Oreochromis niloticus: one gene and its partner. The protein of the gene in region 1 purifies or fractionates together with the protein of each later gene. This does not show direct contact. Links are inferred from orthologs where the notes say so. Each region holds a gene or a part of one and is shown on either strand. Other genes may lie near its edges.

Evidence for each region. The genes of interacting proteins can lie anywhere in the genome.
Region 2: the proteins of cops4 (region 1) and ddb2 purify together in Homo sapiens (affinity purification with mass spectrometry; 7 studies listed by BioGRID and IntAct, counting the BioPlex papers as one, with this or other methods). This does not show direct contact. The link is inferred for Oreochromis niloticus from reciprocal best matches to the Homo sapiens genes COPS4 and DDB2.

Annotation. Positions count from the first base shown.
Region 1 is NC_031972.2:11,872,606-11,879,693, forward strand, and holds the start of cops4 (COP9 signalosome complex subunit 4), read left to right. Parts: upstream 1-4,088; 5' UTR 4,089-4,191; coding exon 4,192-4,265; intron 4,266-6,064; coding exon 6,065-6,144; intron 6,145-6,243; coding exon 6,244-6,395; intron 6,396-6,509; coding exon 6,510-6,613; intron 6,614-6,705; coding exon 6,706-6,859; intron 6,860-6,951; coding exon 6,952-7,088. UniProt on the Homo sapiens protein: Component of the COP9 signalosome complex (CSN), a complex involved in various cellular and developmental processes.
Region 2 is NC_031972.2:51,231,761-51,239,813, forward strand, and holds the start of ddb2 (DNA damage-binding protein 2), read right to left. Parts: upstream 3,048-8,053; 5' UTR 3,045-3,047; coding exon 2,888-3,044; intron 2,796-2,887; exon of another isoform or gene 2,792-2,795; coding exon 2,657-2,791; intron 2,578-2,656; coding exon 2,468-2,577; intron 2,263-2,467; coding exon 2,071-2,262; intron 1,906-2,070; coding exon of another isoform or gene 1,760-1,905; intron 1,559-1,759; coding exon 1,392-1,558; intron 601-1,391; coding exon 501-600; intron 266-500; coding exon 88-265; intron 1-87. Other genes in the region: kinesin-like protein KIF23, read left to right, coding at 3,534-3,547, 3,796-3,862, 4,872-5,000.

The DNA of each region.
Region 1 (7,088 bases):
CAAGAAAGTCATATTTTGACTGAGTTATAGTCTGAGAATGAACCAGAAAAGCGTAAATTCCAAGAATGTTACGGGGTCAACAGCTAAAGTAATATGAAAACAACTAACAGCAAATGGAACTGCTGACTTGTGCCTTCTAATATTTTACATACATATAAAAATATCTATGATCCTTTAGACGTTTCGCCAGTATGTCAAATGAAACTCGATGTGCAGCTAACTTAGCTTTTACTTTTCATTTGCCGTTGCAGTAAGTAAACTTAGCGGCCGGCTCACATGATATTTACACCAAGTCCCTGTTTTGTGCACGAGAAACTTTCCTTAAGCGCTGAAAATACTCTGCCGAACCAAGTCCTGGGAATATTATACTGCTTTTTCACCGGAGTCTATCTTTAAACATCGTTATCGTTATTGTTATCATTATCACCATCAGCAGCAAAGACAGCAACAGCAGTCTCATCTAGACAGCCCAGCGGGCAGGACAACTGTACTAGCAAACTTGCTGAGCTTGCTAACCCGAGCTAGCTAGCACAACATTATATCTCAACATTGAATACATTCTTTAGTGTGAGTCTTTATGTTGAATATAGTGTGTTAAATCCTAGAAAGGGCCAACGCATAGTCATGCTTACCCCAAATTTTTAAGCTAAGCAGCGTTTCCAGATAAAGGGAGGAAAGGAAAAGACGATTGTTCAAAATACCGCGCCGAGCGCCATTCCTCCCTGACATTTCACAGGCCGGCCACGCCCTCCACGCGATACGAAACACTGACGTAACACTTAAAGCTACAGCACAATTGCTTTATCAACGTTAGGACTGTTTCTACAAAACTATTTAATGCTTCTTCTTCTTCTTCTTCTTTTTTATAGTTTTTTTTGGGAAAATAAAAACTTTTATTAGTTTATAAAAAACAAACAACACAGTCAGCCTTGGAGCTCGTGTGCTGGACATTACCAAAATCTGACAGAGCACTACCCAGCAGCCTCACTAAGTGCCCAGTCTCACGTACCACTGTCAGGTAGTCAGTAAATAATAAGGTGGTGGACATGTTTACTTACATGTCCCGTAGTTTCTCTTACAGTAACAGTGGCAAAACACATGAAATGCACTTCAGAAAATCAGAGAAGATAAACTTCACCCTGCAGTTGTTACTGCCTAGATGGGAGTAAACTGTCTTCAGCATGGAGATTACGCCATGATTCACTCCCAGATTCGACCTGCTTGCATACTACAGAGTGTCAAGAGATGTTTTCGCCTGAGGTCTTAGGCAGGCCAGCGTAGTCTCTTCAGTACATTCATCATAAGTCTTGATGCATTCTCAATCATCCAGGAAAGTAAATCTCGAAAAGTTGAATCTGATCATCTGGACGTAGCGTTTTGTGGGAGAAACGTTTCGTCACTCATCCAAGTAACTTCTTCAGTCTCAGCTGACTGCAGGTTTCCCCAAACCTAATAAACAGTACATTTGCATAATGACTGAAACCAGCCCACTGAAGGAACAATGGGCTGTGAGGTCAGTTCCTTAATCATAATTATGCAAATTCCCATGACCATTGATCAACAATCACTGACCAAAACCCACTGATCAAAGAACACTGATCAATGGCCATGAGTACCATTCACTTTGAGTTGGGGAATGGCTGCAATCACAGCGTTGTAAGATGGCGAAAGATGTACCCTCAGGCCCCCTCCTCGATTCAGAGATGGTCTTTCCCTCTTCACGTAAATGGCCTCCTTGACTCCGCGCTCAAACCAGCATTCCTCCCTGTCCAGGATGTGTACATCCTCATCATTGAAAGAGTGTCCACTGGCCTGTAGGTGTAAATAGACTGCAGAGTCCTGGCCTGATGAGGTTGCTCTTCTGTGTTGTGCCATCCGCTTCGCTAGAGGTTGTTTGGTTTCCCCGATGTATAAATCCTGACAATCCTCCTGGCACTTAACAGCGTACAGTATGTTACTCTGTTTGTGTCGGGGGACCTGATCCTTGGGGTGGACCAGTTTTTGGCGCAGCGTGTTTTGGGGTTTAAAAGCCACAGAGACCCGGTGTTTAGAAAAAATGCGTCTCAACTGTTCCGATACTCCTGACACATATGGGATCACTACAGGTTTTCGCTTGGGCAGCAGTTGTCCTTCTCTCCTGGATCAGCTGGAGCTTTCTTTAGGTGCCTTTCCCGCTTTGACAAAAGTCCAGCTGGGATAACCACATTTACTCAGGGCCTTCTTGATGTGCTGTTCTTCTGCCTCCCTGGCCGCTGTGTCTGTGGGGATGGTGTTCGCTCTGTCTTGTAGCGTCCTGATGACACCCAGTTTGTGCTCCAGTGGATGATGAGAGTCAGACCTTAGATACTGATCCGTATGTGTAGGTTTACAGTACACGTCAGCCTTTAGATGTCCCCCATTACTGATGGAAATCTCACAGTCTAAGAAGGCTAACCTGCCACTTTTCATATCCTCCCTGGTGAATTTGATGTGCCGGTCCACCGAGTTAATGTGATCTGTGAAATGTAGTACGTGATATGATTAAGGTACTGACCTCACAGCCCATTGTTCCTTCAGTGGGCTGGTTTCAGTCATTATGCAAATGTACTGTTTATAAGGTTTGGGGAAACCTGCAGTCAGCTGAGACTGAAGAAGTCACTTGGATGAGTGACGAAACGTTTCTCCCACAAAACACTACGTCCAGATGAACAGATTCAACTTTTGGAGATTCATCATAAGTGACATGAGGTCCAGTTGATAGTCAATGAGCTCTTATGGTGCTGACTTTTTCTTGTACAAAAGTCGATACATCAGGCATGTCTTTATGTATTTTGCGTAATACTTATATACTTTTTGACTGATGTTGATTATAGATATTTAGTTTTTAACTGATACCACTTGTATATAACTTGACCTCTGGTGTCATATGTATTTTATTACTATTACTATTATCCAACATTATTTAGTTAGGCTATATATTTTAGTTGTATTTTACTTAAACAAACAAACAAACAAACAAACAAACTTTTGACTGGTTTGACAAAAATGTCAGCTCAATTCAATTTTATTTACATAGCATTTAAAAAGTAATAAAAAGAAAACCCATACAGTCAAATGAATCCCCAAGAACAAACACTTGGAAACAGTGGAAAGGAAAAACTCTTTTTTACCAGGAAGAATGTGCCAGAGGGTACAGGGGCAGCCATCCACTGCAACTGGTTTGGAGTGTGGGGAAGAGAAGAGAGCAGAGAGAAAGACAAGGCAAAAGACACGCTGTGGAAGTCTACTAGAGATTAGCTGTAACTAATGATTATATGTAAAGTGCTGTATAAACACACAGAAAGTAAGAAGTAAGTGAAGAAGAAAAGTTATTCATAAAAGTAGAGAGGGTGTCTGTCTCCTGAATGCAATCTGGTAGCTGGTTTCTCAGAAGAGGGGCCTGAAAGCTGAAGGCTCTGCCTTCCATTTTACTTATAAATGCTCTAGGAAACACAAGTAAGCCAGTAACTCGAGTGTGAAATGCTTTGTTAGGGTGATATGGTATTATGAGATCTTTAAGATAAGACAGGGCCTGATTATTCAAGACCTTGTATGTGAGGTGTAGAATTTAAATGGGATTCTGGATTTAACAGGGAGCCAGTGAACGAGAAAAAGCCTTGCTAGTCCCCGTCAGTACTGTTACTGTAGCATTCTGGATCAATTGAAGGCTTTTCAGGGAGCTTTTAGAACAACCTGATAATAATGCTTTACAACAGCCCAGCCTAGAGGCATTAAATACAGAATGTAGTTGTTCAGCATGTCTGTGAGACAGGATATTTTATTGCGCAAACACAAGAAAGCCCCTCATATTTCAGATGATACTAGTGTTAAAAATAGATTGACCCTTTTTTAGGTTAAAACACAAAATTACCAGAAAAAATGTAACCAAATATAGCTATGATTATTTTCAGGAAAGGGATGGATAGTTTATAATACTCACCAAGTTTTGTTTAAAAACATATATTATCACTTAAAATTCAGACAATAAAAAAGTAATACAATAGATCAACATTTAAGCCTGGCCTAAAATAATTATAATCATTCTTTTCCCTCTTCCGCTCCCATGGCTGGCTGCGTCACTTCCTGGCTGAGCTCTGCGCTCTGACTGCAGACGGAAGGCTCTCCCCTGTCTTGGCAGAGGAAACCGGTGTTGACACTTCGACACAGGCTACAATGGCGACCGAAGTGAGGCAGGAGCTTACACAACTGATGAACTCAAGTGGATCTCATAAAGATCTTGCTGCCAAGTATGTAACGTTAGTTAGGGAGAACATCACTCGTTAAAAACTGCAACAGAAACTGCTAGCTAGCAGCTAGATACTGGTCTGCACAAAGCTAAGCTAACGTTAGCTGCATTAGCCATACATCCAGATAAACCAGATAGAAACGCAATCAGTCTGTCAATGTTTGCTTTTAGGTTTTATCCAAAGTGCAAGGAACATAAAAGGAGTGACTACCCACATTAATTGTTGGTAAAATAATTATGAGAACTGTATATTTTATCATCCAAGCTAACTAGCTAACTTGCTGCTCTTTAGCTGCACATTTGGTGCAGAGCACAAGGTAATAATAATAATAATAATGATAATACATTTTATTTGAAAGCGCCTTTCAAAACACTCAAGGTCACTGTACACAGTAGAGTAAAAAGCAACATAAAAGCAAGGAGTTTACACAATCATAAAAGCATAAGACATAAACAAATTTAAAATAGCTTAAATATAGCTTAAATACAGTTTGAACAAAGTGATACTTGACTAGAAAACTGCCAGGACACCCTTTGCGTACGTTCTTACCATCCTATAAACAACATCTTTATTAGGAACACCTATGCAATCCAAGTACAACTGTGCTGTAAAGTCTACTTTTGCAATTTCAGTTTTCGTCAGTATTGTCCAAAAGGTGATAAATCTATTTAAAAGGTATCTTTTAGGTCCTGTTGTATACGTGTTTGTATAAGAAGAAAGTGTTTACTGTATTTTTATCCACAGTATATGCTAATGGTTAATTAAAATGGAAATATTTAAATAGCTGTTTATTAAAGGGGGGTTTAATTCACTCAAGCTTAAATACACTTGTTTTTCACAGAAGTCACAATCAAATGCATCGACTTCTCTTAAGTAAGGGACCACAGACTCATTGCTGTAATTATATGTGAACTGGTGTTTATGTGCATAGTTCTGTTATGTTCAGAGCACTTTAGTGACATGTTGATTACAGATTTATTTATGAAATGATATTTACCGAATGGATTGGGTACTTTTCCTTCGATTTTGGTACTTTTTTTGGTACTCATTTCAAAATAATAAATTCAAAATTTCCTCTCACAAAATAAGTCCATACTTCTCAGTTTGTACATTTTGCTATTTATTTACAACATTTTAGTTGTGTCACAGTGTCATCATAGTGTCTGTGATGTTCTGTCATAGTGTTCGACAATATTAAATATTAATTGTAGACTATTATAGGGTTGTGACACAACGTCTGTTAGATGGTGCAGTTGACAAATGACGGTGCAGTTTTACAACCAAGCAGTCAGAGGGTTTTTTAAATTATTTTTTAAATTCATAATAATATATATGTTATATCATAAGGGAATACAGTATACATGGGATTATGCAGTTTCTCCCACAGATTTACAATCTGTTTCTGGTGAGGGAGGGTCTTAGATGTGCTTTAACAATATTGATGAATATGAATATTATTGGCTGCTTCATCAGTGAGTCTCTTATACTGCAAATGACTTTCAGTTACATCATCCTGGAGATTATTTGGGTGTCAGCAGGCCTTGTTCTGCTCTGTAGCCTTAGTGAGCTCATTGTAGCATCACATGTATAAAGATAAAGATTTGACAGATGCACTTGGGCAGCCATGCCCATACCTTGCCCAAGTAAAGTTAATCTGTGGGGAAAACACTGGGTTTCATCCAATAAGCTAAAATGTATTTGTGTTTCATATTTAAGTTTTAATCCTTCGATTTTCTATGTAAACATTTTAAACTTACCAGCAAAGTTGGAAGGTTTCTGACCGGTGAAATCTTTTGCAGATATCGACAAATTCTGGAAAAGGCCATTCAGTTTACAGATGCTGATCAACTGGAATCCTTGAAGGCCTTTGTAGAAGCAAGTATGGTGTGCCTGTATTCTTCTGTAATATCTGCTTATTCTTCGTCCTTGGTTCATTTTTCAGGAGTATGTCTTACTATTATATTTTACATTCTTGCAGTGGTCAATGAAAATGTCAGTCTCGTCATTTCAAGACAGCTGCTCACTGATTTCTGCACACATCTGCCCAACCTGCCTGACGCCACAGCAAAAGCAGTGTATCACTTCACCTTGGAAAAGATCCAGCCGAGGGTCATTTCCTTCGAGGAACAGGTAAGTTTGCTCCAGCTCTCTGACGCAGTGCAAACGGAGGTAACCATTCAGGTAGTTAAGCTTGAGTATTGTCACTGTAGTGCTTAACTGAGTAATGTTCCTCCATCTCCTCAGGTAGCCTCAATCAGACAGCACTTAGCGACCATTTATGAAAAGGAGGGAGACTGGAGAAATGCTGCCCAAGTTTTAGTTGGCATTCCCCTCGAAACAGGACAGAAGTAAGTAAACTATTGTCACACGCAAGTCTTGATGGTAATTGTTTCTTTAAATCCCTGTTTCTTTTGTTTGTTTTTTAAAATATCTCCTTCAGGCAATATAATGTTGACTATAAGTTGGATACATATCTGAAAATTGCCCGACTTTACTTAGAAGATGATGATCCGGTTCAGGCAGAGGCCTACATCAACAGAGCCTCATTGCTTCAGAATGAGTCCTCTAATGAACAGCTACAGATACACTATAAGGTACATGATCGCTTAGTGATTTCATAGTTACATAGTCTTATCTGTTGTTTTAGTGAAGCTGTGTGGATAAGTGCTTATGCTGCTCTCATTAGGTGTGCTATGCCAGAGTACTAGACTTCAGAAGGAAGTTTATTGAAGCTGCACAAAGATACAACGAGCTGTCTTATAAGTCAATTGTTCATGAAAGTGAACGCCTGGAGGCACTGAAGCATGCTCTGAACTGCACCAT
Region 2 (8,053 bases), about 39 Mb from region 1:
GACAATTAGAAAACTGATTGTTTCTTTTTTTTTTTCTTTTTTTTTAAAGTAGTAAGCATGAGAGGTTTTTCTATGAGGAAGTGCTACCTGAGTTGACGGCTTTCTCGTGAGGCATTTCGTAGAGGAAGCTTTTCTTGTCCTTGATGTTCCTCAAGTCCCAGAGCTTTACTGTGTGGTCAACTGAGGCCGTCACCAGCAACCAGTCGCATCGGGAGTTGAACTCTGCGTGGGTCACTTTGGCTTTGTGCAATTTGTCACTGAAAATCTGAAACATTAAAACAGAGCAAATCAATTAACATTAAATTGCCACAGAGGAGGTTTTGGATGTAGCAAAGGAAGACTTGCACAATAGGAGTGGTATGGAAGCAGATGATTGGCTTGGGCGACCCCTAAAGGGAAGGGCCGAAAGAAAAAGTGCTCTGTGTTAAATAAGAACTATAACTGATCCTTTAATTTATAAAAAAAACAGTGGAAGTCCTCATTAAGAAAGAGGCACACACCTTTTGGCCATCCAAACCCAGAAGTAAAAGCTGCCCCGCATTGTCTCCTGTCACGAGCATCTGCCGGCTTACAGACACGTCAACGCAGCAGTACCAAAAACTATGAAAGAAAAGAGCTACATATAAGAACATACAAAATAATGTATTCCATAAATCATAGCTTTAATTCAAAATAGGATGTAATATACTATGTGACACTTGAACAAGAGATAACATTATATACGCACAATGCTCTCAGCTACCTGTGTTTTCTCATTTACCTCTACTGATGTCTACCCATGCAGATAGTCATGCTTTTTGAAATCTGCCTACAAAGGGATTGAGTCTGACACTGGAAACTATGGAGATGAATTAAACTTCATTTATTTTTTTTAATGAATTAAAGAGAATGGTTTTTGCAGGACATGACCCAGTTACTCTTCACCTGAATCTACAGATTGTAGAAGCAGTCTCTACTGAAGTAATGTAGAACCATTTTTCCACAATCGTGACAGTAGTTAAATTTGGAGCATGGTGTCTCTTCTCTTTGGTCCTAGTCTTTTAAAGGGAAGAAGAAAGGTGGAGGTGTGCGCTCTAAGACGGGAACATGGGCAAAGGAAGAACACACTGAAATACTGGTGAAGATCTGGATCACCTTCTATTAGATGGCCTGTTATGGGCCTTGGTCGAGGATGCGCCCTCCAGTGTCCTACTAGATTTCAAATAGCATTCATTTTTTGTATTATAGCCCTGACAAATTTTATTTCATAAAATAGGAATAGAAATACGAAACCTTTTTAATGCTATTAAAACAATGTGGCAGCAGGAGTCCTACAGACACAGTAGAGGGAAATGAAAAAACTTTCCATTTTTCATAATGCCGAGCATCAGTCTTCTTTGGGAGTTTCTCACCAAACATTGTGGTGATCGTGGCCGCAGTCTTGAGTTCTGGACAAAACGGTGGGTGCGCGGCCCTCAAAACTCTGTGCGGTCAGTGTGCCCTCGCCAGAGGCCACATAGACTCTAGAAAGGTCCGTGGGGCAAAACTTCATCCCTCCGATAAAGTCTCCTGCTCCGTTCTACACACACAAATACAAATGTAGGCCTTTCACCAGGCAGCAGTTATGACTACAACTACCACACAGATGTTCACACCAGCACCCAACAAGTTCCCTTGAGAGATCTCTGAACTCTCTGTAAGAAGACTGATGCTAGACTAACCCCTAACGCTTTTTTATTTTAGTGCACAGAAGAAAAAAAAGTGGACACTCCAGTCTTACTTCAGTGTTTCTGTGCTGGCAAACACTGTTAGCGTTGTCCCACTGAAATCCCGAAGTGCTGTCGTACCCCCCATAGATGAGGTGAACAGCTGAGTGGGATTTAAGTGGTTAAACTTCATGTCTGTCACTGAGTCTCCAGCCCCCATCTAACCAGAGAGCCAACAACAGTGTTTCATTAAGTACAACTACATCGCACCGCTCTGAAATTCACCACAGCCTGAAGAAGCATCTGACCTCTGTTAAAATCAGTTTGCCGAATGTCTTTTTGATCAATCGAAAGAACAAATCAAAACCATTAAACAGGAACTCACCCCTTGAATAAAGGTCTTCTTGGCAGGCGCCTCAAAGTCCCACAGATAAATGTCTCCACCCTTGGACCCCACAGCCAGAGTAGTAGGATGTGTCGGATGCCACTCAAGACAGGTGATCCTGCGGTCGAAGGGGCTGCTGCCACCGTGGAAATGATAGGATGACAGAGAGCGAACGAAAGGTTCCTGGAGACACTGAGGAGACAAAAGAGCTAGATTCACACCTGCACTGAATAAATCCAGTAAGAGGAAACGAGAGGTAACAGATGGACTATGACTTGTGAACTTACACATGTCCCTGGATTAGATTTTTTTTTTTTTTTTTTTTTTAATTACTATTGGAACAGTGTGTGAGTATTTTGGGCAGCACTGGGGCCAGCACCACATTAGGCTCTCTTACCTGTCTCATCTGTGAGTGCAAACTCTGGCCCAGAGTGCTTTTGTAGATATAGTGCAGTATGCTTCCGTCCCAACCTCTCTTCTGAACTCCTGCAGACTTGAGAGCAGTCCCTAGAAGACACACGAACCCATTCAAGTGTCACAAAGACAGTGCTGTCACTGGACTGACGGTGTTTTCAGAGCCTCATACCTGATTTTGACGTTTCGCCATTTTTTTTGTCTCGTAGTTTTCTGGAGAGAGTTGGACTGGAGACCCCCTCAGGTGTTTTCTTCACTTTATTCTTTGATCCAGCTGCGGCTGACTTCGTGGGCTTGCTTTTCATTTCTTCCTTGTAAACACACACACAAAGCAACAGTTACTCGTCACAAAGCGGACGATTGTGCACCTGTCTGCACCTCTAATGTTCATATTGCTGCTTACCTGCGATGTTCAGTGCTTTAACGCTGCAGTTTAACAGCAAGAACGTCTCTGTTTGCATAACACGACAGTACACGTGACTATGTGCTGAAAAATGTCTGTTTTGTAACTTGTGTCTGTTAAAGCTGGTGAACGGTGGGTGGCACTGTAGATCCACCATGAAAACTCAATGTGCACCATGTTTGGAGTTCAAACAACTCAAACTGCAAAGTAAGGTAACGGCAACGAAATGCTCACAGAAGATTGCGATAAATAAATAAAAAATGTCACGTTATGTCAATGTCATGTTAAATTATTAAACTAAATAATTTTCATAAAGTATTTAAGAATTGTGTAAAACAAAGAAAGGATTTACATTTCTCTGGTAGCAGACATCAAGGACTATTTATGAAGATGAAGAATGAAAGTGGCTGAAACAAGTTTGTATATTATATTTTACTGCATTTGCCAACTTTTTTTTTTTTTTTTTTTTTTTTGAGGCGTAAGAGGCTCGGAAGTAAAGGCGGAAACACGTGCTTGCCGTTGCCAGATCCCATTGGTTGCTTCGGGTCCGTTTTGAAAAAGTCGCTGATTTGAGGCTTTGAGGCGGAGGGAAGATTCAAAACTAGATAAACAGAAACGGTGAAACCAGCACGGGCACCACGCTACGATGACGAGACATCTGTAAGTACATGTTTATGTTCTATATGTCGCTGGTAGGCTGTATTGTTTATGCGTTTTACACTATCACAAAATGGCGAACTTAAGTTTAAGGAGTTACGAGCGGACGTTGACTCTCTGCTTTACCGTTAGCAGGGGGCTAATTAGCCGTCTAGCAAGTGGCTTTGTTAAGCCATCACATAGTCATTAATGGCTAACGCTTACGCTTCTGTTTGAATTGTGAATGACTTTGTATTTATTTACTTTTACAGGAAGGGTAAAACCCCCCGCAGGCCTCCTCCAAAAAAACCCTCCAGCAACCAGACGGACCCAGTTGGGGTGAGTGTCCCTGAATTCTTAAAGGTCAACTCGGCAAACAGTACAAATGTGAATCTCATACATTCCAGTGGGTGGAAGAGAAAACATTCCAGTGAGGGAGTGTTTGAACCTAGAGTGGAGTAATTTACTGACAGAGTGAAAATTCTTCTGGACACTTTCTCGTCAACCTGACTGTGAGCCCACAGTTTCGCTCTACAGCCATCAGTTTTCTTCCTCAAAGGCAACAGATTTAGACTTTTTGATCTGGAAGAGTTTTATTGAGAGGCGTGCCACCTGACTGCCATCTAACTGAGGTTTTAAACTTGAAGATAGCAGGTTTTACTGCTATAATGTATGGTTTGGAGACATTGGCACTGACAAAAAATATGGGAGGCAGTGCTGGAGTTGGCACTTGGCAGAGTTATAGATGTTAAGATTTTCATTGAGAGTGACCAGAATGGCCAAGAATAGAAATGAGTACATCAGACTGACAGCTCAGGTTGAGCTGTTTGGAGGCAAGGAGAAGATCCATGGATGAAATGAATGAAGACATGCAGAAGATGTGAGGTGTGACATAGTTGATGCTGGGTGATGACAGGGTGAGATGGAGGTAGATGATCTGCTGTGGTGATCCCTAAAGTGAGTAACAGAAAGAAGAAGTAATAAAAGTTTCGATTGCTATCTCGCCTCAGTTTTTTGGGCCAACCAAAATTCCCCCTTTTTTTTTTTTCTTAAAAAAAATAAAAGCAACAGTTTAAAGACCCTGTCTGTGAATAACAAGACTGCTCAGTTTCTTAAGAAAAGTATCTTTAGAAGTTTCACCAAGTGGCAATAAGCTGAAACAAATGGTAGCAATAATCCTACTGCATCCAAGAATGTCAAAGTCTGTTTGGTGTTGTTTTTTTTTTTTTGTTGTTTTTTTTAAATCGTTTATCAGATATTCTTGGACAAATTAAATATCTTTGCAGTAGTAACAAGCTCAAAATGTATGGTTAGAGCTTGTTTTAATGTGTGTCATTTTGTTCTTCAGGTATACTGCCGTGTGCGACCCCTGGGTGCTGAGGATGAGGAATGCTGCATTGAGGTGATCAGCAGTACCACCATCCAGATGCACACCCCGGAGGGCTTCAAAACAAACCGCAATGGAGAATACAAAGAGGTAAGAAATCAGATAAGTTAGGAGTAGTTATTGATTAAAGGTAGAGAGATTGTGTGTTTCTGTTATTGTCAGGAAAAGCTGCATAAAGACTGAAACCAACAATAACTGAATCCAGTCATAAATATTGTTTGCATCGTTGGAAATTTCGTAGCTTACTCCTGTGTCATAAAACTCTACAACTGTTAAAAACAAATTATTCCATGTTTGTTTTTTCCCTCCATTGATAGAGTGCCAGGACTGGGCCTGTTTTGCCCTGATGCTTGTCTGTGTAATTTTACATGAGATGTAGTGATGTTGGACAGGTGGGGGCACACTTCGCAGTGTGTTGTGACTTTTGCTATCACCTCTCATAGCTACAAATGCCTTGAAGACCACCATTTTTTTTTAGTTTTTTTTGTTCCACACCACTAGGTGTGTCTATGGCTGTATCCCAATTCAGGGTCTGCAGCCTTAAAGTACGCAGCCTTAACGACCATGATACTATCCGCTGGAAAAGTTTCATACAGCATTGTTTGACAGAAATGAAGGAGAACATATTTTGTTCATTTGTTTCTACATGAGCTTTGTGTGATTTGATATGTATCTGAGGCTGAGACCACAGGATTGTAAAACATGATTGTTGGCACTCATATCTGTACTGAACAGTCATTTTAAGATTAGCTAGTAAATAACAATTAGCTTATGTTGTTCATGAGACTAAAGTCATCTCACTTTGGTAATGTAAATATAATATGGCCAATATTATAGTTATTATATTAATCATTATTAGTTATTACAGCAGTGAGTTTGAACTGTGTCAAATACTGAGCTTCAGTAAAGATTCGAGTTGCAGTTATTTATATTTCCTATCACCTTAAATCTTCACTCAAAGACAAGCATCTTTGACAGGTTATATATAGATGTATTATATATAAGAGACAAATATTGTTCTTTCAGTATGTTGGCATTACTAAATTTGGCTCAGTGCTTACATATATGTATAAAAAGAAAATGTACGAGCTGTGATAACTGTTTCTGATAAAATGAAGAGTAGACTGATATATAAAATATTCCTTTATTGGGTGAGAAAATCAGACCATGTCATAACTGCTTTGATATCTATTCTGTATGACTTAGAGCAGGGGTCCCCAATCTCAGTCCACGAGGGCCAGTGTCCCTGCAGGTTTTAGATCTCACCCTGGGTCAACACACCTGAATCACATGATTAGCTCATTACCAGGCCTCTGGAGAACTTCAAGACATGTTGAGGAGGTAATTTATCCATTTAAATCAGCTGTGATGGATCAAGGACACATCTAAAACCTGCAGGGACACCGGCCCTCGTGGACTGAGATTGGGGACCCCTGACTTAGAGCCTTAAACAGGCTGACTTCTGCTAAATGGGTCAAACTGGGCAAAAAGTATACAAACACATAACATCCTTATAGAATATCATGTAACACTATAGATCAACTTACCTCAGAATATATAAAGCATATAAACAATGACAGCAATATGATGCAACAAACACAGCAGTACTACTAATCCAAAATACTCAAAGCTTCATAGAACTGAAACAAACATTTATTTTTAGCTCCATTCTGCTGCTGATACATACTTTAGGTTTCTGAATATTAAACTTGTTTCTGCCTTTCATCGTGTTTAACTTGAAGGCCCTGAGTACTTTCTCCCACACTGAAAACACTGGAATGATAAAATTATTTGAACATTACCTACTAAGACTGATTCAGGACAGACAATTAGTTATTTTAAACTTTTCTAGCAGTCCTTCACAAACAGGGAACAGTCTGTCTATTCTCTCCATCTGTCAGCTGCTGCTGGCTCTTCCTCCTCCTCTTCCTCACACACTGCTGAGTTTGTCCTGGTGGATCATCAGGGGTGCAAAGCCTCACAGATGATGTGCAGCAGTGGGTCCCTCAGTCTGTCCTCTCTCTGGACACTTGCAGTTGTCACACATGGAAATCAAATGTGTGATAAGCTGCAGGATTCAAACACAAGTGTAACTTATAAATACATGTTCATACTTTTATTGCAAAATCAGAGAGAAAGAAAAAGAGAGAGAGTGCAGGACAGACAGGCAGGTGACAGTCTCAGGTGTACACACTGCTACAAAACAGCACAAGAGAAGGAGAAATTAAGTGTTTGTGTTATTACGAGTGCTAAACAAGAAGAGTTCCCAGATGGTCCAGTGGACACGTGTGACTCCTGTGATTAAAGCATCTTTCTTTCAGCTTAACGAGTGAACCGTCAGCTCGTTCAAACACACGTTAAAGTCCGTTTGGCTCGACACCACCGAACAGAGGCAGCAATATAACATAGCTAACATTAACAGTGCAGTGAATCCTGCTTGTGCCGTGATATTCAGGACTGCAAACCGAGCAGCATCACTGACTTTCAGCTTGTTGTGTTTGTGGATATATGACTGACTTTAATTATCCATAAAATCATCACATTCTCTGTAAGATTAAGGTCAACCATTGAACGGCGTATATGTTATAAAGTGCACATAAATAAGTGACATAATATTCACTATTTACTTTTAAAAGTTTACTCTTCGGCCGCCCCTCTTCCGTCGTTTTTTTTTCTCGGCAAAATTATCCACACCCACCGCCGCGCTATGAAGTCTGGGATATGTTGGGCCGTGGAGGATACACGGACCCATCCTTAAAATTCAGGAAAATGAAGGACGCATTTGAGGGCCGCATTTCGAGCAGCCTTTGAATTGGGACAGCCTTCGTCGCATCGCTGTGACGTAATCGGCCTTAAAATGCAGCCTTTAAGGCTGCAGAGCCTGAATTGGGAAACAGCCAACATATCTGTTTCCCACCATCATGTGCAGTTACCTGAAAGAGCTGTGAGAATGCAAAAGTATGAAGCAGTCAGTCTTAACCATGCTAGCTAGCTACCCAGATTGACTTATTTACCATCATGTATAAAAATCAATCCCTTCTTATTCAGTCCACATCATTTTGCTGCATCTCCATATCCCAAATATAGTCTGTTATAATTTCGTATAATATCAATATGTGTTAAATTGTACAATGCATTGTTTA